3 linked regions of the Anolis sagrei genome follow. The protein of the gene in region 1 purifies or fractionates together with the protein of each later gene. This does not show direct contact. Links are inferred from orthologs where the notes say so. Each region holds a gene or a part of one and is shown on either strand. Other genes may lie near its edges.

Region 1 (10,096 bases):
CTGTCTTTGAAGCATGCAACATACATTATTTTATAGGGTGGTGGGAAAGATGGGGTTTCCCTGTGAGTATAAAGACATTCTAGCTGCTCTGCAGCCTGCGGTTTTTTTTTAAACCACTGCTCAGCAAAATGCATCCAGCCTGAACAGCAGCAAAGCCATTAGTTCTGGGGTAAAATGCTCAGCTCCCTCCATTAATCTAGTATTGCCCACTGTCAACTACATCCCAGACATCCTATTAAGAATGGCATTTGTTGTAGTTACTCAGCCCCACTGTCTCGGAGAGAGAAGTACCAAACAATAGGATGTAAAGATAAGCGCTTGCTATATAATACGACTAAGGTTTATCACATCTAGCACTGTGAAATACCTTCAGTCAGATGCTACTGGCAAAGTCTTTCTCTGTTGTGTATAGTCTGTGTCTGGCATTTAAGGAAAATTCATCTCCATTTAGTCATCATTGCTAATAACCAAGACTCAACAATCACCAAGTTCCTAACATTAAACGCTAAAGGAAAAATGCACTCACAGAACCCAACATGAAAGAAAGGGGAACATAAGAGAGAAAGAATACTTCTCACCTTCTTCTGCTATGATCACCTCTGAAGTTATGTATCCAAGGGCACATGTATCCCACACCAAAACACTCATAATTTGCACCCTTTTCTTATCCATCAACACTAACCAGTGCCTTGATGGGGAACTTATAGAATCAGAGATGGAAGAGACCTCGCGGGCCATCCAGTCCAACCTCCTGCCAAAGAGCAGGAAAATCACATTCAAAGCACCCCCCGACAGATGGCCATCCAGCCTCTGTTCAGACTTTTATGTCTGAACCTACCCCCCGCTGCCCAATAATCAGCCAGAACTCTATAGAAAAGAAAGCACACATGAGACAGAAGGCGTGTGTTGGGGAGGAAGAGGGGAAAGCAGTGTGTGCACACCCGGGTGGGAGTGCCAAGCCTCTTGTCCAAGCTTGTACAGGTTGAGCATCCCTTCAAAATCCGAAATCATCCACAGGGGGTGAATGAGGTAGTGACACCTTTGCTTTCAATATACACAAACTTTATTTCATGCATAAAAGTATTAAATTACGTTCAAGCTATGTGTACAAGGTGCGTATGAAACATAAAATTAATTTTGTTTCTGGGCTTGGTTGGATCCTATCTCTGAGTCCCTTTAGAGAGAGGGGACAGGTTATAAATAATAATTATTATTATCTCCAAGATATTGTCCATATATGCCAATGGGAGATTCCTAAATAAAAAAAAACCCCTCTAATACAGATATGGGCAAACTTTGGCCCTCCAGGTGTTTTGGACTTCAACTCTCATAATTCCTAACAGCCGAACAGTTTTTAAAATAGTGTTTTTTATCGGTAGGTTTTTAATATAAATGTTATTGTATTACCAATGTTTAATTTTTTATGTTTTATGTCTAAATATTATTTTATGTTTACATTTTAATTTGGTACGGTTAATTTGTAGTTGTATGTTATGGTCTTGCGATTATCTTTTGGTTTTCACATGTACGTACAGCATTGAATTTTGCTTTTATAATGTTCGAAACTGCTTTGAGTTCCCTTAAGGGGGAGAAAAGTGGTTTATAAATATAGCAAATAAATAAAATAATAAATTTCAAATAACAAACATTCAACCTGTGATGGGCCTGCAGAGGTACCAATAACAATAATAATAATAATAATAATAATAATAATAATAATAATCTTTATTTATATACTGCCCTATCTCCCCTAGGGGACTCAGAACGGTTTCCACATATGCAAAATACTAAACACATACAATGTGAAACATAGAACATAAGCATAAACTATTAACACAACATATATATTAAAACCAATTTAAAAATCAATTCTGCTCTTTTCTTTCGTGCAAGGTAAGCTACTAGGGGCCAAAATTCAGATAAAAGGCTTAAGCTATTGGTCAGGCTATGGGGACCCCAGGTTGAGAACCACTGGGCTAGGCTGAAACTAGGGCAGAGAAAAGGGAGGCATGGGGCCGACAGAATGCTACAGTGCAGGAGCGGGTCTCAGCAATGGTCATACTGGGGGGCCAAGGGCCACTAATGTCCAGGGCCTATTAAAGAACTATTTAAAGGGTCTGGGCCGGAAGAAAAGGACATAAATAAAGTATTACTATTACTGTTGTTTTTGTTGTTATCTCCAAGATGTTGTCCATATATGCCAATGGGGGGGGGGCATTCCAAAATTTAAAAAAACTTATAATGGGCATGGGCAAACTTTGGCCCTCCAGGTGTTTTGGACTTCAACTCCCATAATTCCTAACAGCCTACTGTAGGGCTCAAATATCAAGGGATTGGATCTGGATGGCCTTTGTGAATCTCTTTTATGAAAACAAAGCAAGAAAAGTAGAGTATGTATAAACAAATGCAACAATAGCAACAATAATCGAAAATGCTTCTAATCCCAAGTATTTCAGATAAGGACGAGCCTGCAGAGGTATGAAGAGAACTGGCAGAAGTGGGTAAATTGAAGTAAAATTAGGAATGGTGGAAGTCCTGGTGTAGAGGCTTTTAAGTACAGGCTGGATGGCCATCTGTCGGGAGTGTTTTGGAGATAGAATGGGGTAGAGTGGGCTGGATGGCCTCTGGGGGTCTGTTCCAACAGAAGTGGGTAAATTGAAGTGAATTAGGAATGGTGGAAATTCCAAACACCTGGAGAGATGAAGTTTGCCCAGGCCTGGTGTAGAGGTTTTGAAGCAGGGGCTGGATGGCCATCTGTCAGGAGCGTTTTGGTGGGAGATCAGGGTTGGGTGGGCTGGATGACCTCTGGGGATCCCTTCCAACAAAAGTGAGTAAATTGAAATGAATTAGGAATGGTAGAAGTCCAGAAACACCTGGCGAAATGAAGTTTGCCCAGGACTGGTGTAGAGGCTTTGAAGCAGAGGGAGTGTTTTGGTGGGAGTGTTTTGGTGGTAGAGTGGGCTGGATGGCCTCTGGGGGTCTCTTCCAACAGAAGTGGGTAAATTGAGGTGAATTAGGAATTGTGGAAGTCCGAAACACCTGGAGAGATGAAGTTTGCCTAGGCCTGGTGTAGAGGTTTTGAAGCAGGGGCTGAATGGCCATCTGTCAGGAGCGTTTTGGTGGGAGATCAGGGTTGGGTGGGCTGGATGACTTTTGGGGGTCCCTTCCAACAGAAGTGGGTAAATTGAAGTGAACTAGGAATGGTGGAAATCCAAAACACCTGAAGTTTGCCCAAGCCTGGTGTAGAGGTTTTGAAGCAGGGGCTGGATGGCCATCTGTCAGGAGCATTTTGGTGGGAGATCAGGGTTGGGTGGGCTGGATGACCTCTGGGGGTCCCTTCCAACAGAAGTGGGTAAATTGATGTGAATTAGGAATGGTGGAAATCCAAAACAGCTAAAGTTTGCGCAAGCCTGGTGTAGAGGCTTTGAAACAGAGGCTGGATGGCCATCTGTTGAGAGTGTTTTCGTGGTAGAATAGGGTAGAGTGGGCTGGATGACCTCTGGTAGTCTCTTCCAACAAAAGTGGGTAAATTGAAATGAATTAGGGATTGTGGAAGTCCAAACACCTGGAGGGACAAAGTTTGCCCAGGCCTGGTGTAGATGCTTTAAAGTAGAGGCGGGATGGCCATCTGTCGGGAATGTTTTGGTGGCAGATCAGGGTTGGGTGGGCTGTATGCCCTCTGGGGCCTCTTCCAACTCCATGACATTGATCCCACTCATCCTGTCAAGGCTCAACCACGTTAAACCACCTCTGTGCTGACTCGCCCTTCAAGAATCCTCCCAAGACACAGATCTGTCATGAGAGAGAGAGGTCCCTCTTCCTTCAGCAACCCTCCCTCCCTCCTTCCTTCCTTCCCCGTCTTACCGAGTGGTTCACCCCCCACATGAGGACGCTGAGGAGCGGGTCGCTGGCCCGGAAGAGCTTGACTTTCTGGGCCACGAAGTGCTTCTTCTTGGTCTTGGTCTTGCTCGCCATGACGGACACGATGTTGCTGGGGGCCGCCATGGTGAGAGCAGCAGGAGGAGGAGGAAGCCAAGGCGGAAGGGGAAGGAAGGATTGAAGGAAGGAGGGGAAGGGCAGGCGCTATTGCGGCAAGAGGGCAGCGGCGGTGTGGGTGCCGCAGCGATTGCTGCTGCTTCTGCCACTGCAGGACAATGCCAAGCGCATCCTGGCCTGGCCGCCTGCGCCGCCGCGCGCCGAATATGGCCCCGCGCGCCGCCTCCGCCTCCTCCCCGCACAGGCCACGCCCCCTCTCCTCCCTCCCTCCCTTCGCCCCGCCCACTCACTCACCCACCCTCCCTCCCCGCCCTCTGAGCAGGAACACTTCGTTTTGTGTGAGCATGCGCGCTAAGTCCCTCTTCCCTTTTAACGCATGCGCAACAGGAGTGTGCAGTTTCTTCCACTAACTACCCTACACTCTTATTTTCACAGACGGGCTCTAGCTCGCTACGAGCATGCGCACTAAGGGGATTTGAAGTCTCCTCCCGTCCTCGCTCTGAGCATGCGCACTAAGGGGATTTGAAGTCTCTTCCCGTGCTCGCTCTGAGCATGCGTGACAAAAAGAATGTGCCGGCTCTTCCCTCTCACCATAGACCCCCTCTTGGCGCAGTGGGTCAAACTCTTGTGCCTGCAGGACTGAAGACCGACAGGTCACAGGTTCGAATCCCGGGGGGAGCGTGGATGAATCATAGAATCAAAGAGTTGGAAGAGACCTCATGGGCCATCCAGTCCAACCCCCTTCTGCCAAGGAGCAGGAATATTGCATTCAAATCACCCCTGACAGATGGCCATCCAGCCTCTGTTTAAAAGCTTCCAAAGAAGGAGCCTCCACCACACTCCGGGGCAGAGAGTTCCACTGCTGAACGGCTCTCACAGTCAGGAAGTTCTTCCTCGTGTTCAGATGGAATCTTCTTTCCTGTAGTTTGAAGCCATTGTTCCATAGTGTCCTAGTCTCCAGGGAAGCAGAAAACAAGCTTACTCCCTCCTCCCTGTGGCTTCCTCTCACATATTTATACATGGCTATCATATCCCCTCTCAGCCTTCTCTTCTTCAGGCTAAACATGCCCAGCTCCTTAAGCCGCTCGGATGAGCTCCTTCTGTCAGCTCCAGCTCCCCATACGGCAGTGGTTCTCAACCTTCCTAATTTTTTTTTAGTCGTGTCAGGAGTGACTCCTGGTGTGAGAGAATTGGCCGTCTGCAAGGACGTTGCCCAGGGGACGCCTGGATGATTTGATGTTTTTATCATCCTTGGGGGAGGCTTCTCTCATGTCCCCGCATGAGGAGCTGGAGCTGATAGAGGGAGCTCATCCGCCTCTCCCTGGATTCGACCCTGCGACCTGTCGGTCTTCAGTCCTGCCAGCACAGGAGTTTAACCCACTGCGCCACCAGGGGCTCCCAACCTTCCTAATGCCATGACCCCTTAATACAGTTCCTCTTGTTGTGGTGGCCCCCAATCATAAAATTATTTTCATTGCTACTTTCTAACTGTAATTTTGCGAATATTGTGAATTGTAACGTAAATTCCTGATATGCAAGGTGTATTCTCATTCACTGGACCAAATTTGACACAAATACCCGATACACCCCAATTTGAATACTGGTGGACTTCGGGGGGGGGGGGGAGTTGATTTTTGTCATTTGGGAGTTGTAGTTGCTGGGATTTATAGTTAACCTACAATCAAAGAGCATTTTGTACTCCACCAATGATGGAATTGAACCAATCTTGGCACACAGAACTTCCATGACTAACATAAAATACTACAAGAGCTTGATGGGCATTGACCTTGAGTTTTGGAATTGTAGTTCACCTATATCCAAAGAACACTGTGGAATCAAACAATGATGGATCTGAACCAAACTTGGCACAAATATTCAATATACCCAAATGTGAACACTATTTAGAGAAAATAGACCTTGACATTTGGGAGTTGTAGTTGCTGGGATTTATAGTTTACCTGCAATCAAAGGGAATTCTGAATCCCACAAACGATAGATTTGGGTCAAATTTCCCAAACAGAACCCCCATGACCAACAGAAAATACTGTGTTTTCTGATGTTTTTTGGTGACCCCTCTGACACCCCCTTGCGACCCCCCCCCCGGGGTCCCGACCCCCAGGTTGAGAAACACTTCCATATGGGGACACGAGAGAAGCCTCTCACAAGGATGGGTAAAACATCAAAAACATCCGAGCGTCCCCTGGGCAGTTTCTTAAGTGACTCCTGACATGAAAAACTAATGGCGACCCTATGGCAAACTTATTGTGTGTTTTTGGGGGTGGGTGGGTGAGTTTGCTCAGAGGAAATTTGTCACTGCCTTCTTCTGAGGTTGAGAGAGTGTGGCTTGCCCAAAATCACCCAATAGGTTTCCATGGGCAAGGAGATTTGAACTCCTGAAGTCCTTGTGTGGTCTCTTTATAAACTGAAACTCTCCAAATGCCCTTGGCCAACAACCAAATAAATTGTGAGATTTGAGGAATTATAATCCAGAATCAGCGTGTTAATGACTCGGTGTGTTAATGACTCATAAAAGTGCTCCACAGTACCCAAAAAGTGCATGCAGATAACTCTGTTGCTTTTGAATGTTTCATCATCATCATTGCTGCATGCACTTACCTTGTCTCATTTGATTACCGCAGATGAAATAGATAATGCTTATACATTCTTCTTGTTGCATCTCCTTACTTCCCTTTCCATTTCCGTCATAGAGATCTCCTGTTTTGGGTTCATCAGTACGCTGACCTACGTTTTGAATCAGCTCCCATGTTCCCAGCTCAGATGTGTCTTGGCGTCTGATGCTAGCTCCAGTTTTCTTGCTCTTTGTACTGAAACAGGCACGTCAACATCTCGGTTTGGGGCTCCTGCCAGAAAAAACATTTTCATCTTAAGGAGCCTTTATATCGCTCATCAAAGATGTTCCTCCCACACCTAATATATTCCAGGCCATGGCTGTAGTTCTTATTATTTGTTGTTGATGAATTCTTTTATATTAGTAAGATGTTAGGGCTGCATATCCTAACTAGGCAGAAAGCACAATTGAAATCAATGGTTATCTTTGGAACAAGGTATAGTTAAGAATTTCTTTTTGTAAAGCACTACCTATCTTTGGAAAAACTGGACATTTTTATAAGCTCTTTTTGTTGTTTATTCGTTCAGTCATTTACAACTCTTCGTGACCTCATGGACCAGTCCACGCCAAAGCTCCCTGTCGGAGGTGGCCACCCCCAGCTCCTTCAAGGCCAAGCCAGTCACTTCAAGGATAACAACCACCTTGCCCTTGGTTGGACCTTCTTCCTTTGTCCTTCAATTTTCTCCAGCATCATTAATTTTTCCAAGCTTTCCTGTCTTCTCATTATGTGGTCAAACTTTGCCTCTAATATCCTTCCCTTCAGTGAGGGAGTTTCCTGGAGTATGGACTGGTTTGATCTTCTTGTGGTCCAAGGCACTCTCAGAATTTTCCTCCAACACCACAGTTCAAAAGTGTCAACCTTCCTTTGCTCAGCCTTCCTTATGGCCCTTACAAATCAGAAAATATGGGTGCTATGCACTGCAGCTACAGTAGAGTCTTGCTTATCCAACCTTCACTTATCCAACATTCTGTATTATCCAAAAGTGTCTGCCTCCTGCTTGGATCCACAGGTGCGGGAAGTGGAGTGTATATTTACCTGTGGAATAATGTCCAGAGTCGCAGAAAGAAAGAACCCTTGTCTGTTTTGGTGCTAATGTCCTAAATACAGTAATTACTACATAATGTTACCATGTATTGAACTGCTTTTTCTGTCAATTTGTTGTAAAACATGATGTTTTGGTTCTTAATTTTTAAAATCATTGCACAATTTGATATTTAATAGGCTTTTCCTTAATCCCTCCTTATTATCCAACATTTTCACTTATCCAATGTTCTGCTGGCCCGTTTATGTTGGATAAGAGAGATTCTACTATATCTTTAATCCAGAACACTTTATAGTGACCAACAGAAAACCTTATGAAATTCATGGGGTTGCCATAAATTGACAGGCAGTTGAAGGCACATATACACAGAGGGTGAAAATCTTGATATCATCTGATAGAGACTCAGTTCTTTGAAAATGAGCAGAAGCTTTGAGCATGTCATTTTGAAGGTTTACTCAGAAGTAAGACTGGCAGAAGCAAGATTTTTAAAAAGCAGCTTTGGGTTAAAATCCAAGAATGTTCTCCTCCAGAAGACTTCAGACGCTTCCAGTTTCTTTGAAACTAAGAAGGGCTTTACATCTGCAGCAAATAAAAGTACAACGTTGGATGCTACTGCTGCTGCTGGTATTTTGCCTGTGCATACTTCTTGTGTGGTTTCCCCCCGCCCCGCCCCCACCCCATCCCTTCCTACATTTGCAGTTGAAGTTGCTGCCAACACTTCCTCTGCAAGCCAGTAATAGGTCAGCTGTCAGGGATTGCAAACTGCAGAGGAAGTACATTTTTGCTGCTGAAGAAATTGCCGAGTCAATGCAACGGGCAATTCTATAATGTCTTTTGTCCCACGGCTGTTTGCGCTGCTTATGATGGAGTTCAGACTTTGCTTCAGAGAGTGACACTTAAAAGTGCAATCCTAGCCAACTGAGAAGCCAGTCCCATTGAACTGAATGGGATTTACTTTGAGTTCAATGTGTGCATTCCTCCTCCAGATACTTTCCTTCCAGTTCAGTTATGAAATTAGAGATGCCATGGTATGTCTAAGAGGAAGTACACTATGGGTGGTTGTTAGATGACTTACATCACTCACCCAGTCATCCATGTTGGTTGTTATAGAATTACTAGCTGTGCCCTGCCACGCGTTGCTGTGGCCTATAGTAAAACTTATCAAAGTTGAGGTAGATATCTGGACTATTATGAAAGAGAGGTCCCTACCTATTCCTTCCCCCTTTTCCTCACCCTTTCTCTCCTTTCTTCCTTCTCTACCTCTTTCTTTCTTTCCTTCTTTCACTACTTGGTTTCATCCTTCTCTCTTTCCTTCATTCCCTCCCCCTTTCTTCCTTTGCCTTTCTTCCCTCCCTGTTTGCTTCCTTCTTTCACTTTTTATTTCCTTTTATTTCACCACCATCATAACAATAACAATAATGCAATGCATTGCCTCCGGGACCTGACACCTCTCCCATTCCCCCTAAAAGGGTCTCATAGGAACAATAGCATAATAACAATAATAGAAATAACAACCTTTACCCGCCATGTGTTGCTGTGGCCAATCTTCCCTCTTTCTCTCCTTCTTTCCCTCCCTCCCTCCCTCCCTCCCTCCTTCCTTCCTTCCTTCCCATCTTTCCTTCTCCTCTTCTTTCTCTATCTCTTTCCTTCCTTCCCCCTTTTTCTTTCTCTTCTGCTGTCTCTCTTTTCTTTCCTTCCATCTTTCCTTTTCTTTCCTTTTCTTCTTCCTCTAACTTTCCTTCCTTCCCCCTTTTTCTTCACCTCCCTTTCTCTTTCTTCCTTCTTTCCTTCCTTCCTGTCTTTCCTAGATTTTGACAGGGCGGGAAGGGGCGGGGTGGGGTTTGGAGGTGGCCTGAAGTAAAAGGAGGTAAGATTGGGGCAGGGGAGTGATGGAGCGTGGGGTTGTGTGTGTGTGTGCGGCGGCGGGGGGAGTGATGGAGCCTGGGGTTGCATGTGTGTGTGCGGCGGTGGGGGGAGTGATGGAGCTTGGGGTTGCGTGTGTGTGTGCGGCGGCGGGGGGAGTGATGGAGCCTGGGGTTGCGTGTGTGTGTGCGGCGGCAGGGGGAGTGGGGTTGCGTGTGTGTGCGGCGGCGGGGGGGAGTGATGGAGCGTGGGGTTGCGTGTGTGTGTGCGGCGGCGGGGGGAGTGATGGAGCGTGGGGTTGCGTGTGTGTGTGCGGCAGGGGGTGTGTGTGTGCGGGAAGCGGCGCGGCGGGGCTTGGAGTGGGCATGGTTTCCGCAGAGGGAACGTTGGCCGGAAGGCCATGTGCGCGCGCGATGGAACTTGCGGCTGGGCGCCAATGCGCATGCTCAGTTGTTTTGCCGTTTTGTGAGTGTGTTGTGTTGTTTTTCATTTTGAGTAGATATGTTTGTACCTTGTGGGTTGTGTTATGGGCATGGGAATTTTGGTTAAGGTTCGTTGGGGTTTT
Region 2 (11,072 bases), on another chromosome or scaffold:
TTAGCATGTGCGTGCATGTATGTTACATACACTGAGAGTTTTGTGTAACATATAAAAACCACAGATAAACATTTTGGGGATCTGGCATATGTAAGAACATGCATTCTAATTGCATCTTAGGTTAAGTAACTTAAGTACAGCCCACCTCTAGCTGTTTGAGCAGCCTATCTTTTCAAATCTCAATTTTCTTATTTTAAGAAAAGCATAAAATATTTCAAACATCAATTTTAATATAGCTAATATTTCAAAAGCAGACTAAGTCTCAAGCACCTGCATAATGCAGAATATACACCTACGATCAACCTGTACATTTAAAAAACTGTTTTTTTGAAATTAGAACAGTGTCCACAGTAAAACCAGTTGTGGAAGTCTCTATCCCTCTGGAGATTTTTTTTTTGGGGGGGGGGATGACAGACAAGTCTTGCTGATGTCAATTTACATGAGTAAGGCAACATGGGTAATACTGAAAATAAAGAATCTACCCAAGTATATAAAAAACTGGGATGCATATGAATACAAGGGAGGGTATTCAAAAGTTGATTAAACTTTATTCCAGTTGCATTTTAACTGATAAAGACTGATAAAGATGGCTGGTGAGGCTACTTCCATAAGTATATTTTCCATGATTTGGAAAAATTATCTGTTGGAAGTGTTTATGTTGTTGTTGCTTGATTTGTATGAGAATTACACTGGCTAGAGTAAAATACTTTGGTTACATATTCAAGGTGAAATTCACTTTTCTTTTGTTTTCTTTTTTTTACAAAATGAATGTTATAGGTCTGCCTGGGTACATTGTAGAAGTAGTTCCAGTCCATATAAGTTTACTAGATAAATAATGCAGAAAGGGCTCAGAATTCCTCAGTCCCCAGAAGATGTCTGATCTCCTGAGAGAGCAACAAAAGCTTTCAAATGTGACTTCAAAAAATATAAACTGTTTAAACTAATTCAGTTCGGCATCAATTCAATTCAAGAGGAAAACGTAATTACCGCAAGAAAACGTCCAATAGGTCTCAGTTTTTGATCTGCACACTACAGAACCTGAATTTAAATTTGAACCCAGACAAGATAAACCTGAAAAGAACGCCATGCTTTGTGCTGAAGGAGGTCCTATGATAAATCTAAATGGAGAATTTTGACTGCATCTATCTGGCTAGAAGTCAGAATTCTTGAGTTCAGATTCACTAACAACAATTATTACAACTATGGGGCCTCACAAAGGTAATTTTGGGGAAAGCAAACCAGGCAGAACTCAAAGAAACAATTGTTTATTAATTTATGTTAAATAGAACTGGAAGAATCTAGAGAATAATAATAATAATATTTTATTTATACCCCGCCACCATCTCCCCAAGGGACTCGGTGCGGCTTACATGAGGCCAAGCCCAAAGTACATCAGTAAACAGAAGCAATAACAAAAACAATAAATACAAAACAATTAATATAAATCACATAAACAAAAAAATAAACAATAAACAATAACAGTAACACACAAGCATTTTAAAAAAAATCTATGGCTTGGCCAAATGTGATAATTAAAATTTAAAAAATAATGCTGGGCATGACCAAGGTAGGATATAACTGGGATAAAAATTTTTCAAAGAGAGATGAGGGAACGCAGTCAGTCCTAAATCCATAGTAAAGTGCATTTGAGGGCATATTGCTGAGAGTTTTCCTTATTCTGGGAAAGCACACTGGAACAACCACGTTTTCAGGCTCCTCCTAAAGACTGCCAGAGTTGGGCCATGTCTGATGTCCTTGGGAAGTGAGTTCCAGAGTCGGGGGGCCACCACCGAGAAGACCCTTTCCCGAGAAGACCTTGGATTAAGGATACCAGCTAGAGCAGATTTAAGAATAAGTTCTTCATAGCACAGATCCCTTTTAGGCTGTTAGCAGGTGCAGCCTTCACACAAGTCAAGCAAGGGACTTTGTAGACTTATTCAGAAGTGAAATCAATCGTCTACTGATAGAGAAGCACATCCAGGTCTCTGCAATAGACGCAAGACACTTACTGCTACGGAATAACCTGCAACCCACTTTTATAGCTTGCATAATGGCCCTTAGAGGCTCACATGCCACAGCACAAATACCCACATTCCTGAGAACAGGCAGAGCACCAACGGGAAGGGGAAGGACCTCCTTCTGCAGAGCAGTCTGAAAGCAAACCTGGTTTCCGGATCACCTGTGCCCACTGGCCTCGACATTCTTCCTAGCCTGTGGCATGAATCAAGGGAAATCGTCATAACCCAGGACAGCTACAAGGCTTGGATCACATCTAGCCAGGCCTCTTTACAGACATCTAGGCGGAAATACCTTCCACAGAGAGGAACAGGGATAATGATCTTAAGAGTCAGTTAAGCTTCGGGCAGCAAGGAACCGTTCACCTGACACACCAGGAAAGTGTGTCTTAACACTGACTCCCTTTGAGCTGTAACACCTCTCTTGGGATGCATCTACACTTCAGAAGAAATTTAGTTTGACACCACTTTAACTACGATGGCTAAATGCTTGTAGTTTTACAAGATATTTAGCCTTCTCTACCAAATGTTTCTAGTGCCTTCCCAAACTACAACTCGCAGGACTCCATAGTACTAAGCTGTGGTCGTTAAAGGAATGCCCAACTGCATTTATTCTATAGTGTAGATGCTTTCAGCCAAAACACCTGACAGACAGCACCACATTTATCTGTAAACTTAATGCAGTCTAACACAATTTTAACTGCCTGGTGGCGCAATGGATTAAACCCCTGTGCTGGCAGGACTGCTGACCGAAAGGTCTGCGTTTCGAATCCAAGGAGTGGGGTGAGCTCCTGTCTGTCAGCTCCAGCTTCTTGTGAGAATATGAGAGAAGCTTCCCACAGGATGGTAAAATGTCTCAGCGTCCCCATTTTAACTGCCCTGGAGAGGAACCCCCGGTGGAGCAATGGATTAAACCCCTGTGCCGGCAGGACTGCTGACCGAAAGGTCAGCGGTTCAGATCCAAGGAGCGGGGCGAGCTCCTGTCTATCAGCTCCAGCTTCTCATGTGGGGACATGAAAGATGCCTCCCACAGGATGGTAAAACATCCCAGCATCCCCTCGGCAACATCCTTGCACACAGCCAATTCTTTCACACCAGAAGCGACTTGCAGTTTCGCAAGTTGCTCCTGGCACGAAAAAAAAACTGCCCTGGAATTCTGGGAGTTGTAGTTTGGTGAGGAAGATAAGGTTGAAAGGAGACAGGATAACCATGTTCAAATATTTGAAAGAAAGAGGAGCAATAGATTCAAATGACAGGAATGGAGATTCCAGCTGAACATTAGGAAGAACTTCCTGAGTGTAAGACAGGCATGAGCCTACCGGCTGTTAGGAATTGTGGGAGTTGAAGTCCAAAACACCCGGAGGGCCAAAGTTTGCTCACACTTGCTGTAAGAGCTGTTCAGCAGTGGAACTCTCTGTCTCAGAGTGAGGTTGGATGGCTTTTGAAATGTGGCTGGACGAGAGAGGAACTCTGTACATGCTCAGAGTGTACAAGGCGCCCTCATCTTCTTGGGCACCTTGGTGAGTATGGACATGAAAGGATACTTCTTTGCTGCATGACCATCTGTCGGGGTTGCTTTGATTGTGCTTCTCCCACACGGCAGGGGGTTGGCTTGTGGCCATTGTGGTCTCTTAGGATTCCCTAAAGAACTTGTAAAACTACATCTCCCATGATTCCATAGCAGTTCAAGTGGCGTCAAGCCCGCATTATTTCCTTCTACAGGGCAGAAATCTCTTTCTCCTCCGCCTCCTCTATCTATCTATCTATCTATCTATCTATCTATTCCCCGAGTGCTGACCAAGGCAAGTGCTCCCCTGAGCGCGTGCAGAGTTCCTCTGCCCCGAAGGGGTTCCTTGGCCCCTCCAGAGGGCGCGACTTTGAGGCCTGAGGTGATCCCGGCCCTCCCTCCCTCCCTCGCTCGCTCACCTTCTTGGGCGCCTTGGTGAGCGTGGACATGAAGGAGTACTTCTCCGCGTCCTCCATCTCCTTGGCTTGCTTCAGCTCGTCCCCGGAGGCCGCGTCCGGCGCCGAAGACATCCTGAAGGGGAAAGGGCCCGAGAGAGGGATCCTACGCCTCAGGTGCCTCTCCTCCTCCTCCTCCTCCTCCTCCTCCGTCAGCAACCACTCAGCCTGCAACCACCGCTGCCGCGCTCCGGCAAGGGGCGGGGCCAAGCGGGGCGCGCGCGTCACCACGCACGCCTCGGGGCCCCGCCCCCTTTCCCCCTCGCGCCGACCAAGCCGGGCCCTCCCGACGTCGCACGCAAAGCTCTGTCGCGCAGCATCTTGGATGAGAGCACCTCAGCGCCATCTGGCGGCTGGTTGCAGAAGTGACGCAATGGAAGGAGCCGAGGATGAAAAAAGGACACAGCCTGCTCAACCACATTTTGTGAGGACCGGCGGCAAAGAGCCTGAGCTCCTGGAGCCAATTCCATATGAATTCATGGCATAATGTGAATAAACAAAATAGAATCATAGAATCAAAGAGTTGGAAGAGACCTCATGGGCCATCCAGTCCAACCCCCTGCCAAGAAGCAGGAATATTGCATTCAAATCACCCCTGACAGATGGCCGTCCAGCCTCTGTTTAAAAGCTTCCAAAGAAGGAGCCTCCACCACACTCCGGGGCAGAGAGTACCACTGCTGAACGGCTCTCACAGTCAGGAAGTTCTTCCTCATGTTCAGATGGAACCTCCTTTCTTGTAGTTTGAAGTCATTGTTCCGCGTCCTAGTCTCCAGGGAAGCAAGCTTCCCAAACAAGCTTGCTCCCTCCTCCCTGTGGCTTCCTCTCACATATTTTATACATGGCTATCATATCTCCTCTCAGCCTTCTCTTCTTCAGGCTAAACATGCCCAGCTCCTTAAGCCGCTCCTCATAGGGCTTGTTCTCCAGGCCCTTGATCATTTTAGTTGTCCTCCTCTGGACACATTCCAGCTTGTCAATATCTCTCTTGAATTGTGGTGCCCAGAATTGGACACAATATTCCAGGTGTGGTCTAACCAAAGCAGAATAGAGGGGTAGCATGACTTCCCTAGATCTAGACACTATGCTCCTATTGATGTAGGCCAAAATCCCATTGGCTTTTTTTGCCGCCACATCACATTGTTGGCTCATGTTTAACTTGTTGTCCACGAGGACTCCAAGATCTTTTTCGAGCCAAATAAATTCCTTTCTAGAGAAAGAAAAAGGACCTGGCTTTGACCCACAAAGAAAATCCAACAAATGCTACGTTCAGCAAAGGACACTTCTGCAGGAGTCTACCGTATACCTTTATTTATTTATTTATTTTATTTACTGTATTTGTATATCGCCTTTCTCAGCCAATTGCCGTCTCAAGGCGGTTTCCAACAAATCAGTATACATAAAACACATGATATAAAAAACATTGAACAGTATAAGACATCACAAAAGCAATAAAAGCAACATCGTCAGCGTCTCATTATTCTCAAGCATTGTCCAATTCCATTGTCAGGTCATTCGATTTCCTATATTAGTTACTCTGTATTTGTAAACGCTTGCTCGAATAGCCACGTTTTAACTTGCTTCCGAAACGTCAAGAGGGAGGGAGCAGATCAGATTTCCCTAGGGAGTGTGTTCCATAGCCGAGGGGCCACTACTGAGAAGGCCCTGTCTCTTGTCCCCGCCCAACGTGCTTTGTCCACATGCAGCTGTGGACAAGTCTACATCGGGAACACCAAAAGCAGCATCACCCAAACAAGAATCAAGGAACATGAAAGGCACTGCAGACTACGTCAGCCAGAGAAATCAGCCATAGCAGAGCACCTGATGAACCAACCTGGACACAGCATTTTATTTGAGAACACAAAAATGCTGGACCACTCTCACAACCACCATGTCAGACTACACAGAGAAGCCATTGAAGTCCACAAGCATGTGGACAATTTCAACAGAAAGGAAGAAACCATGAAAATGAACAAAATCTGGCTACCAGTATTAAAGGACTCAAAAATCACAACAGCAAAACAACAGAGGGGAAACAAACAGGCACATAAAATCACTCTCAGCAAGGGATTCCCCCCGGGCACTTCTAAGCCATTGAATGCTAATCAAGGTGATCAGCTGAAACATTCACATCTAGCCCCAGCAAACAAAAGTCCTTTGTCTCACCCTGGTCATTCCACAGATATGTAAACCCATTTTCCTAGTTCCAACAGACCTCACTACCTCTCAGGATGCTTGCCATAGATGCAGGCGAAAAGTCAGGAGAGGATGCTTCTAGAACATGGCCATATAGCCCAAAAAAACCTACAACAACCCAGACATGGCTTTGGATTATAAATTGTAAAATTATTCCATTAATTAATTTTATTTATTTACGAAATTTATATGCCACCCTTCTCACCTTGAAAGGGACTCCAAGTGGCTTACAAGTAATATGTAAATAATAATAATAAACTTATTATTATTATTTACATATTACTTGTAATATGTAATAATAATTATCTTAGACAGACTACAAGCAGAGGCATAACACCATTGCTCAGATGATTCACTGGAACCTGTGCCACAAATACCATCTGCCTGCGACAAAGAACTGGTAGGATCACAAGCAGGAAAAAGTTACAGAAAATTAACACATCAAACTCCTCTGGGACTTCCGAATTGAGATAGAGTTTTGAGAAAGAGTGAATACTGTAAAAACACAATCCAGAGCAGAAGAGAAAACTGGCAAAAGAAGGCTCTCCATGGACAGTTCCTGGGAAAAAGTGAGAGCCAAACTGACAAAGAAAAAACATGGCTGTGGCTCACAAATGGAACTTTGAAAAAGAAGATGGAGGGTCTGATTCTGGCAGCCCAAGAACAAGCCATTCGAACCAATGCCATCAAAGCCAGAATTGAAAAGTCGACAACAGATCCCAAATGTAGACTCTGCAAGGAAGCAGATGAAACAATAGATCACATCCTCACCGTTGCTCAGATGATTCATTGGAACTTGTGCCACAAATACCATATGCCTGCAACAAAGAACTAGTGGGATCACAAGCCGGAAAAAGTTACAGAGAATGAACACGCCAAACTCCTCTGGGACTTCCGGGTTCAGACAGACAGAGTTTTGGAGCATAATACTCCTGACCTTTACAATTGTGTTAAAAAAACAAAGTATGGATTGTCGATGTTGCAATCCCAGTTGACAGCAGGATTGAAGAGAAACAACTGGAAAAGCTGACACGATGCGAGGATTTAAAGATCAAACTGCAAAGACTGGCATAAGCCAGTCAAAGTGGTTCCAGTGGTGATCGGCACACTGGGTGCAGTGCCTAAAGACCCTGGCCTGCACTTAAACACAATAAGTGCTGACAAAATTACCACCTGCCAGCTGCAGAAGGCCACCTTACTGGGATGTGCACACATTATTCACCAATACATCACACAGTCCTAGACACTTGGGAAGTGTCCGAGGTGTGATCCAATACAACAGCCAGCAGAGTGACCTTGTCTGCTTTGGACTCATCTTGTTGTGTTTTAAATAATAATAATAAACTTTATTTATACCCACCACCATCTCCCCAAAGGGGACTCGGGGCAGCTCACATGAGGCCAAACCCAAAAATACAATACAGCAAAATAAAATACAAAACAACAAAAAATTACATCATGATAAAATACATAATGTAAAAAGATAAAATAAGCAATGCAAAGTAACATAATGGAAAGTCAAACACAATGAGCAGGCCAAATACACAAGATAAAATGATAAAACTCTGGATGAGATAGGAGTGGGGGGAAAGTGTATTTGTGAGGGAGGAGCCCAAAAAGACAATCAATGGGGGGCTCTGACTTATTACCATAGCACAATATTAGTATATTATATCACTACAGTGTTCCCTCGCTACTTTGCAGTTCACTTTTCGCAGTCTTGCTGTTTTGCGGGTTTTTGCCTTTTGGCAATGATGGAATGTGGAAGGGGGTTTAACCCCCCCCCCCCCCTCGGGAGAAAGGCAGCCAATCATAAAGAGAGAGAGGAGATACAAAGCAGTATGTAAATCACGGCCTTATAGCTGCTTCAACTTGGTGAGATTCATTCTGGAGTTTTGGCTTATTTTCTCACCAGGCTAAACTCACAGTGGCTTGGATCTCACTATCCATAGCCATTCTCAATTGCTCGATAACATCTTGACACCAGCCAATCCCTCTGCAATGCCAGAAATACAACTTAACAGAGAGTGGACTGGGAGAGGTGTCCTTCTCTGTGCCAGGCCAGACCAAATGAATTTGTGGGCCTTATATGTCCCATGAGGTGGATTTTCCCCATTCCTGCATTATGCTCTGCTGAGAAATTCATGCCAAAATTGCCAAGGGCAGAAAAAACTCAAATTCAAATGCCTGAAAGGCAAAGGCAAAGTAGTTAGAACCCTATTATCCACTGGGATGGAAGGAGAGGCAGCAAGGAGGGAAAGGCCTAGTTCAAAAAAGCAATTTGCCTGCCACTTCCTGCCTTGATACCAATTCAACCATTCACTTTCATCCCTGTGCTGAACCTGCAACCACAACAAGCCAGGCAAAAAAGTATTCACACAAATCATGGCCACGGATCCTGTGGGGTAATGCATTTTGGAAAACTGAAATCTCCTTACCCTTTTGGAGATTTTATGATCTTTGGAAAGGCATGACCTTGTTAGAAGTCATAACCATTTGAATAATGATGCCATAATCTTTTGGGAAAATGGCATTCATGCAAGGCAATTAGGTTTCTCAGCTGTTAAACTGATATCCTAAACATCTCTTTGAACGGTTAGGGACAAAGATATGCCAATGCACAAAACATATATGTATATAGCAGAGTTTCAGAAGTGGTTTTTTTTTTTTTTGTAGTTGCCCAGAAACATCTATTCTTCCTTAAATATATATTTGCCTTTAAATCATACTACCAAGAGACAAAATAAGCAGACTTCTTTAAAAGTAACATAGTAGACTCCAGCAATACATGTAGCAAGAGTTGCCAGATGTACAAGTTGGGTTTGGAAAAGGCAGAGGAACGAGAGACCATGCTCTCAAGAGACAAAATATGCACACTTCTTTAAAAGTAACATAGTTGGTTTACTCACAAACTTCATGTATTCAGCAAATTTTGCTTATCAATCCAGTTACAAATAGGATTTGAAGTAGTTTGTGTAGGTAACACAGGCCTAATTCTTAGAATCAACAGTCTATCATCTAAAGCATCTCTCTGTCTAGTCTGAAAGTCCAATGGAGTCTGAAAGCATGCATCTGTTCCTACTGAAGTTTCCAAGCATACTGTTCTAAAATGGAGTCTGAGCCCTGAACAAGCCCAGATCTGCTCACTTGGTCTGCAGCCCTTCCCACAACAAAGAGTTAAAGTAAAATTGCATACCAATACACACATATACAATATAGTAAGCAATCTAAATTATTTACATAACAAATAACTAGTGGAGACTTGAAGAAGGTTGCTATTTCCAACAATGCAACAGTCCCCCTGATCGAGCCTTGAAAAGGGGAGCAGATGAGAACAGCCAGGACTTATAATATCTGTGGCCTAGCCCTCCCAGTGTGAACTGCCTCAGCCATTTAACCCTTGTAAAATGTTGCCCAAGGGGGCCATCAAATGTGCTCTTTCACCCAGAGAAGCCATAGCCTAGTGGACTTGGGTACAAATTATTTTGCTTTGATTGCTGTTGTAATCCTGCATCTTGAATTTGGCACATATCTAATGTTCATATCACTAATGCCTGTGGTCTTTTTGTGTGTTGCAATTTTCTCAATCTTTATCTGATAAAGTTAAAGGCACCAGATCTGAACCAGTATTTGATAAGTATTTGGTTGGGAGACGAAGGGCCAGAGCAAATAGTCTCAGGGGTTGCATGCAGATTGGACGTTTCCTGCCCATCAGTTAAGGATATACAGCCCTGACCCAAGATGTTTTGCTACCTGAAGAAAATCAGCAAATGCAGCCTTCCAAGGCCACAAATCAAGAGCCATAGTTCCTGAAGGTAGCCAAGTTATTTTGGCACAAAGAGGCAGGAAATCCCACAGGCTCCACTCCCTCTTGCTGACAGTAAAAATTCAATCAAAATAAATGAGATGAACCAAGAATTTGCTGTCCATTTCTAACAGCCCAAACATTCCCGCATTATGTTATTGCAAGTAGTAAGCTCATCTAAATAAGATTAAAAATAGTTTTGTGGCTTTTGGATTTATATAGCAACATGCTTAAACTGTGAATTGTTTACACATTATTGAAGGCATAATATCCATGAGCTTGGAAAAATATAAAGCAGTTTGACCTTTTCATTTGAACACCCTTCATTCTGATTGCAAATATTTATATTGAACGGATCCTCTGTAGTAAGTGTTTGTGTGGGTGTGTGAACCAACAAAGCGAGGAAGGGGAAGTTAATTCCACACAGAGGGATAAGCTACATCATTTTTAATTTTAGATTAAATCTGGCAGTGTCAAAGGAAGGGCACACAGTGAATTCTGTGCCAGAACTGGGTGTAGTTGCAGGCCGCTCCAAGAACAGTAGACACTGATACATATTGCTGCTATAATATATGCTTAATGGCAATCAATGATGCAGTGACTCCCAACCTTTGGTCCTCCAGGGACTTCAGTTCCCATAATCCCTAATAGCTGCTAAACTGGCTGGGAATTGAAGTCCAAAACACCTGGAGGACCAAAGCCTGAGAACCACTGCACTAGATCGTATCCTGCAGAGCAAAATTTCAAGCTTTTTGCTGATGGGGTCTTGTATTCCCTCAAGATCAGTGGTTCCAACCTGTGGTCCATGGACCACCAATGGTCCGCAAGAACAAAATTATGGTCTGCGGCCTCATCATTATTACACTGTTGCCTCGAAACCATGCAACAATGAGGACAGCTGGTCTCGCTAAACACACTTATAGTGCTGAGGCAATGGACATGTCAGGAGGGGAGAGGCTGACTACCCACGAAAGATTACTACTACCACATCAGCTCTAGATTATTAAATATGGTTTTCTGTGGGCAAGCAGACGGCATTTACTGGATGGTATACATTCTGTATCAGAAACTAGAGCTAATGTGGTCTGTCCAAAGCA
Region 3 (10,661 bases), on another chromosome or scaffold:
GGATACCCCATTTTTTGGCTCCTTGGCCTTCTTAAAGGGCCAGCAACCTCTTTTTTTACTCAAGTCATTCCAATGGGGAAGGGGTCTTTCTCTTTTTTTGAGGGGGGATCTGTATTCCTTTCTGAAAGGGAAGCCTTGGTGAGAAGGACCCTGTAATCAAGACTCAGCTTGTGAGGGATCCCTCAATTCCCTGTTTCCTTGGCCTTCTTAAAGGGCCAGTGTCCCCCATTTCCTGGCCTTTCCTGACTCAGAATTACCTTCTTAAAGGGCCAGCACTCTCTGTTTTACTCCTCAAGTCATTTCAATGAGGAATTTTCTAAATTTACTTTCTGAAAGGCTCAGCAGCCCCATTTCCTGACTTCTTAAAGGGCCAGTATCTTCTTCTTTTTTTTTTACTCCAATGGGGAAGGGATCTTCTTAAAGGGCCAGTATCCTCTTTTCTTACTCCAATGGAGAAAGGGTCTTCTTAAAGGGCCAGTATCCTCCTTTTTTACTCCAATGGAGAAGGGGTCTTTCTTTTGAGGAGGGGGATCTGTCCTTTTACAAATCTCTCTGTATTCCTCTCTCAAAGGGAAGACTTGGAGAGAAGGACCCTGTACACAAGCCTTCCCTTTCCTTGGCTCCTTGGCCTTCTTAAAGGGCCAGTATCCTCTTTTTTAACACCAATGGGGAAGGGGTCTTTCTCTCTTTTGGAGTGGGGGATCTGTCCTTTTACAAATCTCTCTGTATTCCTTTCCGAAAGGGAAGACTTTGTGAGAAGGATCCTGTAATCAAACCTCAGCTTGTGACCCTTGGCCTTCTTAAAGGGCCAGTATCCTCTTTTTTTACTCCAATGGGGAAAAGGTCTTCTTAAAGGGCCACTATCCTCTTTTTTTACACCAATGGGGAAGGGGGTCTTTCTTTTGAGGAGGGGGATCTGTCCTTTTACAAATCCCTCTGTATTCCTTTCTCAAAGGGAAGACTTGGAGAGAAGGACCCTGTAAGCAAGCCTTCCCTTTTCTTGGCCTTCTTAAAGGGGCAGTATCCTCTTTTTTTACTGCAATGGGGAAGGGATCTTTCTTATTTTTAGAGGGGGGAGGTTTGTCCTTTTAAAAATATTTCTATCTTCCTTCTCAAAGGGAAGACTTGGTGAGAAAGACCCTGTAACCAAGCCTTCCCTTTTCTTGGCCTTCTTAAAGGGCCAGTATCCTTTTTTTACTCCAATGGGAAAGGGGTCTTTCTATTTTTGGGGGGAGGGGGGGTCTATCCTTTTAAAAATATCTCTCAATTTCTTTGACTTGAGGAGAAAGACCCTGTAAGCAACCCCAGTTTGTGAGGGATCCCCCAATTCCCTGCCTCCTTGGCCTTCTTAAAGAGCCAGTATCCTCTTTTACACCAGTGGGGAAGGGGTCTTTCTATTGGGGGGAGGGAGGGGGGTCTATCCTTTTTAAAATATCTCTTAATTTCTTTGACTTAAGGAGCAAGACCCTGTAAGCAATCCCCAGCTTGTGAGGATACCCCATTCCTTGGCCCTTTGGCCTTCTTAAAGGGCCAGCAACCTTTTTTTGTTTACTCCTCAAGTCATTCCAATGGGGAAGGGGTCTTTCTATTTGGGGGGGGGGGGGGGAATCTGTATTCCTTTCTGAAAGGGAAGCCTTGGTGAGAAGGACCCTGTAAGCAACCCCCAGCTTGTGAGGGATCCCCCCAATTCCCTGGCCTTCTTAAAGGGCCAGTATCCTCTTTTTTTATTCCAATGGGGAAGGGGTCTTTCTATTTTTGGGGGGAGGGGGGTCTATCCTTTTTAAAATATCCCTAATTCCTTTGACTTGAGGAGAAAGACCCTGTAACCAAGTCTTCCCTTTCCTTGGCCTTCTTAAAGGGCCATATCCTCTTTTTTACACCAATGGGGAAGGGGTCTTTCTCTCTTTTGGGGGGGGGGGGTGTTTGTCTAATTCCTTTCTCAAAGGGAAGACTTGGTGAGAAGGACCGTGTAAACAAGCCTTCCCTTTCCTTGGCTCCTTGGCCTTCTTAAAGGGCCAGTATCCTCTTTTTTTACTCCAATTGGGAAAGGGTCTTTCTCTTTTTCTTTTTTGGAGGGGGGGTCTGTCCTTTTACAAATCTCTCTGTATTCCTTTCTCAAAGGGAAGCCTTGGTGAGAAGGACCCTGTAACCAACCCTTGCTTTCCTTGACCTTTTTAAAGGGCCAGTATCCTCTTTTTTTACTCCAATGGGGAAGGGGTCTCTCTCTCTTTTTGGAGGGGGGGTGGTCTATCCTTTTTTAAATATCTCTTAATTTTCTTTGACTTGAGGAGCAAGACCTGTAAGCAATCCCCAGCTTGTGAGGATACCCCATTCCTTGGCCCTTTGGCCTTCTTAAAGGGCCAGCAACCTTTTTTTGTTTACTCCTCAAGTTATTCCAATGGGGAAGGGGTCTTTCTTTTTGTGGGGGGATCTGTATTCCTTTCTGAAAGGGAAGCCTTGGTGAGAAGGACCCTGTAAGCAACCCCCAGCTTGAGAGGGATCCCCCCCAATTCCCTGCCTCTTTGGCCTTCTTAAAGGGCCAGTATCCTCTTTTTTTACTCCAATTGGGAAGGGGTGTCTCTATTTTTTGGGGAGGGGGGCTCTATCCTTTCTAAAATATCTCTCAATTTCTTTGACTTGAGGAGGAAGACCCTGTAAGCAACCCCCAGCTTGTGAGGGATCCCCCCAATTCCCTGCCTCCTTGGCCTTCTTAAAGGGCCAGTATCCTCTTTTTTTACTCCAATGGGGAAGGGGTCTTTCTATTTTTTAGGGGGAGGGGGGTCTATCCTTTTAAAAATATCTCTCAATTTCTTTGACTTGAGGAGAAAGACCCTGTAAGCAACCCCCAGCTTGTGAGGGATCCCCCAATTCCCTGCCTCCTTGGCCTTCTTAAAGGGCCAGCATCCTCTTTTTTTACTCCAATGGGGAAGGGGTGTCTCTCTCTTTTTGGAAGGGGGGGGTGGTCTATCCTTTCTAAAATATCTCTCAATTTCTTTGACTTGAGGAGGAAGACCCTGTAAGCAACCCCCAGCTTGTGAGGATACCCCATTCCTTGGCCCTTTGGCCTTCTTAAAGGGCCAGCAACCTTTTTTTGTTTACTCCTCAAGTCATTCCAATGTGGAAGGGGTCTTTCTATTTTTTGGGGGGAGGGGGGGTCTATCCTTTCTAAAATATCTCTCAATTTCTTTGACTTGAGGAGGAAGACCCTGTAAGCAACCCCCAGCTTGTGAGGATACCCCATTCCTTGGCCCTTTGGCCTTCTTAAAGGGCCAGCAACCTTTTTTTGTTTACTCCTCAAGTCATTCCAATGGGGAAGGGGTCTTTCTATTTTTGGGGGGGAGGGGGGTCTATCCTTTCTAAAATATCTCTCAATTTCTTTCACTTGAGGAGGAAGACCCTGTAAGCAACCCCCAGCTTGAGAGGGATCCCCCAATTCAATTCCCTGCCTGCTTGGCCTTCTTAAAGGGCCAGCGTCCCTCTTTCCCTGCCTTTTGGGGTGCCCCCCGTTTCCCACAACCACAACACCCCCTTCCTTCCCCCGTTCCCCTCGTTTTCCCGCAGGCGAAGGATACAGCTTGACCACGTCGGTGTCCATCCGCCTCTTGCCAGGGCTGGGGGAGGACATGGCGCCCCCCCGGCCGGCGGCCTCTCTTGTCCTGTCAGGACCCCTTTAACGCTGGAGCCCCGCTTCCTGCGCCTGCGCGGTGGGATCCTCTCTCTCTCTCTCCTTGGCTCCGCCTCCTTTGCTCCTTCCTCCGAGGCCCCGCCCTTCCCGAGCCGGCTCTTCCTGGCACCCCCTCCCCTCTCTTAATTTCTTTGGTTCTCCTCTTGTTGTGTGTCTGTTTCCTGCGCCCTTCCGCACCGCTTTCCTGCTCCTGCTCCTGCTCTCTGCTGGCTGCTTCTGCTTCGCCCGCCGCCGAGGCTCTTCTGCTGCCTCTCTCTCTCTCTCTCCTCTGACGTCACCCACAGTGACCTCACCGCCCAGGCCGGGCTTCTTATTGGACGGCGGCGGCGACGTCACTGCGGCCAAGCCCGCCCTCTCCCTGTCCCCGCGCCCCGAGGCACGACGGGAGTTGGAGTCCTTTCCCTCAAAGCACCTCCCTGTGTTTTGGACTCCGACTCCCAGCATCCCTCAAAGGCAAGGCCTCTCTGGAGCTGAGGCCGTCTACACTGGGGAGAATTAACCCACTTTGGGCACCCCTGCTCATGGGACCCCTTGGGAGTTGTAGTTTGCTGAGGTGTTCGTGGAAGGATGGGAGTTGTAGTTTGCTAAAGTGTTCGTGGAATTATGGGAGTACTCATGGAAGGATGGGAGTTATAGTTTGCTGAGTCGATCGTGGAAGGAGGGGAGTTGTAGTTTGCTGAGGTACTCATGGAAGGATGTGAGTTGTAGCTTGCTGAGGTACTCATGGAAGGATGGGAGTTATAGTTTGCTGAAGAACTCATGTATGGATGGGAGTTGTAGTTTACAGAAGTGTTCAGGGAATTATGGGAGTACTCATGGAAGGATGGGAGTTATAGTTTGCTGAGTCGTTCGTGGAATGATGTGAGTTGTAGTTTGCTGAGGTATTCATGGAAGGATGGGAGTTGTAGTTTGCTGAAGTACTCATGGAAGGATGGGAGTTGTAGTTTGCTGAAGTACTCATGGAAGGTTGGGAGTTATAGTTTGCTGAGGTACTCATGGAAGGATGTGAGTTGTAGTTTGCTGAGGTATTCATGGAAGGATGGGAGTTGTAGTTTGCTGAAGTACTCATGGAAAGATGGGAGTTGTAGTTTACTGAAGTACTCATGGAGGGATGGGAGTTGTAGCTTGCTCAGGTGTGCATGGAAGGATGGGAATTGTAGTTTGATGAATTCATTGAAGGGTGAGAGTTGTGGTTTGCCGAGGTATTCGTGGAAGGATGGGATTTGTTTACTGAAGTGTTTATGGAAGGGTAGGAGTTGTAGTTTGATGAGGTATTTGTGGAATTATAGGAGTTGTAGTTTGCTAAAGTACACATGGAAGGATGGGAGTTGTAGTTTGTACTCATGGAAGGATGGGAGTTGTAGCTTGCTCAGGTGTGCATGGAAGGATGGGAGCTGTAGTTTGCTGAAGTGTTCAATGAAGGGTGGGAGTTGTAGTTTGCTGCAGCACTCATGGAGGGATGGGAGTTGTAGTTTGCTGAGGTATTCGTGGAAGGATGGGAGTTGTAGTTTGCTGAAGAGTTCATGGAAGGATAGGAGTTGTAGTTTGATGAGGTATTTGTGGAAGGGTGGGAGTTGTAGTTTGCTGAAGTACTCATGGAGGGATGGGAGTTGTAGTTTGATGATGAATTGATGGAAGGATGGGAGTTGTAGTTTGCTGAAGAATTCATGGGTGGGAGTTGTAGTTTGCTGAGGTATTTGTGGAAGGATGGGAGTTGTAGTTTGCTGAAGTACTCATGGAAGGGAGTTGTAGTTGCTGAAGCATTCATAGAAGGATGGGAGTTGTAGCTTGCTGAACTGTTCATGGAAGGATAGGTGTAATTTGGTGAGGTATTTGTGGAAGGATGAGAGTTGTAGTTTGTTGAGGTGTTCATGGAAAGATGAGAGCTGTAGTTTGCTTAAGTGTTCATGGCAGATTGGGAGTTGTAGTTTGCTGAAGTGTTTGTGGCAGGGTGGGAGTTGTAGTTTGGTGTGGGATCAGCACCCATTTCTGCAGGGAAGGCTAAAAGGGCGTGGAGGAACTACAACTCCCACCACTCCAAGAGCACGGAGCCATTATTTGACAGAAAAGGCTGAAAGTTCCCTTGGCGAACTACAGCTTCCAGAGTTTTGTGTGGCAAGAGAACAGGCTTGTCAAAGTGGCCCATGGCTACGGCATCCTGGGAGTTGTAATTCTACACTGTTTGCTACAGAAGGCCTTGTCGAACTACGACTCGCAGGGCCCCTATAGCCTTGAGCCATTGGCAGTTCAAGTGGTGCCAAGAAGAATATTTAGACTAGAGTCTTCTTTTAGGGGAAGAAAGCACATAATAATAATTGCAATAATAGTAACAACAACAATAATAATAATAAGAGTCTCATTTGAAGCGGGAAGCAGGAAATAATAATATTTAGAGTCTTTTAGGGGAAGAAAGCAGGAAATAATAATAATAATAATAATAATAATAATAATAATAATAAGAGTCCCCTTTTAAGGAAGGAAAGCAGGATATAATGATAATAATAATGATAAACATACAAAATATCAATTGTTGACTTTTAAGAATGGGCTCATTAGTAAATGCATAAGAATATGAGTAAACTACAACTCCCACCATCACCTGTCATTGTTCCAAACCCACTCATATTCCAAGTTGGTCTGTGTGCCAAGTCTGGTCCAGATCCATCGTCGTTTGGGTTCACAGCACCCTTTGGATGGAAACGAACTATAACTCCCTAAATTCAAGGTCTGTTCCTTCCAAATCCCACTGGTTGTCAAAGATGCATATGTTGGGGAAGCGTGACAGGTTTGGTCCAGATCCATTGTTGTTTGTATAAGCAGAGGTTGGATGGGCATCAGTCAGGAGGGCTTCGGTTGTGTCTTCCTGCCTGGTTGGACTGGATGGTCCTTGGGGTCTCTCCCAACTCTACTACAATGGAAACCAAATTGGTGACCTTGAATGAGTCACACTCTCTCAGCCTCAGAAGGGAAAGGCAAAACGTCTTTTGAACCAATTTTAGGATTCCCGTTCATGGGAAACGAAGGCACATAACAACAACAACAACATAAATATAGAATCATAGAGTCGGAAGAGACTCTCGGAGCCATCTAGTCCAACCCCCTTCTGCCATGCAAGAAGACACAGTCAAAACATATCAAATAGAGGTCCATCCAGCCTCTGTTTAAAAACCTCCACCACTTTAAAAGGTCCTAGTTCCAAACTGTTGAAAAGGCAGATTACACTCTGCTTGGAAGATGTTTCTTTCCTAAGCTGATGGCTGTCTGCCAGGAGTGTTTTGGTTGTGTATTGCACTACAAGGGGTGCGACTGGATGTCCTTTGGAAGTCTCTTCTAACTCCATGATTTGGAGCTTTCGTGGGGTACCTCCTGCTCATTTGTTTAAATCACGGGGCTGAAATTCAATATATCATTACGTTCTGCTTGGGTCCAAATACACTTTGTGGTCAATATTCTGCCGCTGCTGTTGTTGTTGTCGCTGCTGCTTCACTTTCCTTAAAAGCACCCAGACCAGCGTATAGAAGGAATCAATACAAATATCATGAAAAGCATCACAACACAAATCCTTGCAAAGAATGGAGAGTGGCGTTTTTAAGTAAGGGAAAGCAGCAACCATGTCGCTCATGGCCACGTATTTCCCTCCACGTAACCTACTCTGCAGGGTTGTTGTTTGGAGAAAATGCATTTAAAAATATGTATGATGCCTTTAAGGCTGAAAAAACACCATCTTTTAGTATTTCTCCTTTAGAAATACTAAAGCAGGTGTTGGAGGTGCAAGAGCAAGATTTGGATCAGGACCACAGAGCTCATTATTTCATGTGTTTCCCCTCATTTTAGAATGCATCCACTCCGTCGAATTAATGCAGTTTGATACCACTTTAACTGCCATGGCTCAACGCTGTGCAGTTCTGGGAGATATAGTTCGATGAGGCACAGGCGCTCTTTGACGGAGGCTAGAAACCTTGTAAAACTACAACTCCCACTGTTCCATAGCATTAAGGCATAGCTGTTACAGGGGTCTCATACTGCATCCATTCTACAGTGTCAACACACCATTACTACTACTATTATTATCATCCTACTTTCCTCCCCCAAAAGGAGACTGTTATTTGTATTACTACAGATTAGAGAGATGGGCCAAAACTAACAAAATGAAGTTCAACAGTGACAAATGCAAGATACTCCACTTTGGCAGGAAAAATGAAATGCAAAGATACAGAATGGGGGACGATGCCTGGCTCGAGAGCAGTACATGTGAAAAAGATCTTGGAGTCCTTGTGGACAACAAGTTAAACATGAGCCAACAATGTGATGTGGCAGCAAAAAAAGCCAGTGGGATTTTGGCCTGCATCAAGAGGAGCCTAGTGTCTAGATCTAAGGAAGTAATGCTACCCCTCTATTCCGCTTTGGTTAGACCACATCTGGAATACTGTGTCCAATTCTGGGACCACAATTCAAGAGAGATATTGACAAGCTGGAATGTGTCCAGAGGAGGGTGACTAAAATGATCAAGGGTCTGGAGAACAAGCCCTATGAGGAGCGGCTTAGGGAACTGGGCATGTTTAGCCTGAAGAAGAGAAGGCTGAGAGGAGATATGATAGCCATGTATAAATATGTGAGAGGAAGCCACAGGGAGGAGGGAGCAAGCTTGTTTTCTGCTTCCTTGGAGACTAGGACGCGGAACAATGGCTTCAAACTACAAGAGAGGAGATTCCATCTGAACATTAGGAAGAACTTCCTGACTGTGAGAGCCGTTCAGCAGTGGAACTCTCTGCCCCGGAGTGTGGTGGAGGCTCCTTCTTTGGAAGCTTTTAAGCAGAGGCTGGATGGCCATCTGTCAGGGGTGATTTGAATGCAATATTCCTGCTTCTTGGCAGAATGGGGTTGGACTGGATGGCCCATGAGGTCTCTTCCAACTCGTTGATTCTATGATTCTATGATTCTGTACTAATAATAACAACAACAACCACAATAATAATAATATTCCCTCGGGTAAAATGAGACTTTAAATCATACTATAATTATTATTATTATATCCTGCTTTCCCCCTTCAAAGGAAACTTTATTATTATTATTATTATTATTAGCTGAAACACAACAAGATGAGTCCAGACACTCTGCTGGCTGTTGTATTGGATCACAGGTTGGACCCTTCCCAAGTGTCTAGGACTGTGTGATGGATCGGCGAATGATGTGCGCAGATCCCAGTAAGGTGGCCTTCGGCAGCTGATAGATGGTAATCTTATCAGCACCAATTGTGTTTAAGTGCAGGCCAAGGTCTTTAGGCACTGCACCCAGTGTGCCGATCACCACTGGGACCACCGTGACTGGTTTGTGCCAGAGTCTTGGCAGTTCGATCTTTAAATCCTCATATCATTGTTGTTGATATTTGAAACACAACAAGATGAGTCCACAACAGAGACTCTGCTGGCTATTGAATTGGATCACACATTGGACCCTTTCCAAGTGTCTAGGGCTGTGTGATGTATCGGCGGATAATGCGAGCAGATGCCAGTAAGGTGGCCTTCTGCAGCTCGCAGATGGTACCACCTTTACTCGCTTGTGCCAGAGTCTTTGCAGTTCAATCTTTAAATCCTCGTATCGTGTCATGTTGTGTATTATTATTGTTGTTATTATTATTATTTTTTATTATTATTATTATTATTATTATTATTATTATTCTAAAAGACCTAACCTGGACATCACTGGGAACTTAAGCTAGTAGATGCATAGTTTCCACACCTTTGACCATTGTGGTGGCACTTCTTTGGGCATTTTCCATTTTGTCCATCTCTCCCTTGAATTGTTTTGCCCAGAACTGGACATTATGTGATTCCAGGTGACCAAAGCAGAAGAGAGTGGGATTATAACTTCCCTTGATCTAGTCACTATCTCACACACACACACATATATATATAGCTGTCTCCTGCCACACGTTGCTGTGGCCCAGTCTGTGTATATGTGTTTTATTTGTGTATATATTTGCGTATATGTGTGTTTGTGTATATATATATATACGTGGTTTTGCACATGTGTTGTAAAGTATTTTTTATTTTGGGGGTTTTTAAGTTTCTTCTGCTGTTTTTCAGTGTTTTTATGAGTGATGGTCACTTGTTGGCCTGAGAGGTGTTTTGTGTCCAAATTTGGTGTCAATTCCTCCAGTGGTTTTTGAGTTATGTTAATCTCACAAACGAACATAGATATATATGACATGACATGACATTTCCCTTTTTTCCCCCACACATACTTATGAGGGAGAAAGGTGTAAAAGTCAAGTAAGAAAGAAAGGGGGAAGGTAGGGGTTTTGGAGTTATTGTTAGTCAGTTAAGTCCAGAGGAGGGCGACTAAAATGATCAAGGGTCTGGAGAACAAGCCCTATGAGGAGCGGCTTAGGGAACTGGGCATGTTTAGCCTGAAGAAGAGAAGGCTGAGAGGAGATATGATAGCCATGTATAAATATGTGAGAGGAAGCCACAGGGAGGAGGGAGCAAGCTTGTTTTCTGCTTCCTTGGAGACTAGGACAAGGAACAATGGCTTCAAACTACAAGAGAGGAGATTCCATCTGAACATTAGGAAGAACTTCCTGACTGTGAGAGCCGTTCAGCAGTGGAACTCTTTGCCCCGGAGTGTGGTGGAGGCTCCTTCTTTGGAAGCTTTTAAGCAGAGGCTGGATGGCCATCTGTCAGGGGTGATTTGAATGCAATATTCCTGCTTCTTGGCAGGGGGTTGGACTGGATGGCCCATGAGGTCTCTTCCAACTCTTTGATTCTATGATTCTATGATTCTAAGTCTGTACTGATATCTAATATTTTGTGTGGGGTGAGGGGAGGGGACAAGAGAAAAGGCAATATGCATAGTTATGATTATTACATCTCATTTCTCATTTCCATTACACTTATTTTCATTACTTAAAGTATCAAAAGTTCATTATATCCTCTTTAGCAAAGAGAGGAGTGATATTATCGATTAGCTTCAGATC

What was found.
Region 2: the proteins of PIP4K2A (region 1) and AHCYL1 purify together in Homo sapiens (co-immunoprecipitation; 3 studies listed by BioGRID and IntAct, counting the BioPlex papers as one, with this or other methods). This does not show direct contact. The link is inferred for Anolis sagrei from reciprocal best matches to the Homo sapiens genes PIP4K2A and AHCYL1.
Region 3: the proteins of PIP4K2A (region 1) and UBE2H purify together in Homo sapiens (affinity purification with mass spectrometry; 3 studies listed by BioGRID and IntAct, with this or other methods). This does not show direct contact. The link is inferred for Anolis sagrei from reciprocal best matches to the Homo sapiens genes PIP4K2A and UBE2H.

The regions. Positions count from the first base shown.
Region 1 is NC_090026.1:108,313,440-108,323,535, forward strand, and holds the start of PIP4K2A (phosphatidylinositol 5-phosphate 4-kinase type-2 alpha), read right to left. Parts: upstream 4,225-10,096; 5' UTR 4,006-4,224; coding exon 3,865-4,005; intron 1-3,864. UniProt on the Homo sapiens protein: Catalyzes the phosphorylation of phosphatidylinositol 5-phosphate (PtdIns5P) on the fourth hydroxyl of the myo-inositol ring, to form phosphatidylinositol 4,5-bisphosphate (PtdIns(4,5)P2). Has both ATP- and GTP-dependent kinase activities.
Region 2 is NC_090024.1:183,979,684-183,990,755, forward strand, and holds the start of AHCYL1 (S-adenosylhomocysteine hydrolase-like protein 1), read right to left. Parts: upstream 4,190-11,072; 5' UTR 4,053-4,189; coding exon 3,942-4,052; intron 1-3,941. UniProt on the Homo sapiens protein: Multifaceted cellular regulator which coordinates several essential cellular functions including regulation of epithelial HCO3(-) and fluid secretion, mRNA processing and DNA replication.
Region 3 is NC_090025.1:195,015,196-195,025,856, forward strand, and holds the start of UBE2H (ubiquitin-conjugating enzyme E2 H), read right to left. Parts: upstream 3,977-10,661; 5' UTR 3,626-3,976; coding exon 3,573-3,625; intron 1-3,572. UniProt on the Homo sapiens protein: Accepts ubiquitin from the E1 complex and catalyzes its covalent attachment to other proteins. E2 ubiquitin conjugating enzyme that transfers ubiquitin to MAEA, a core component of the CTLH E3 ubiquitin-protein ligase complex.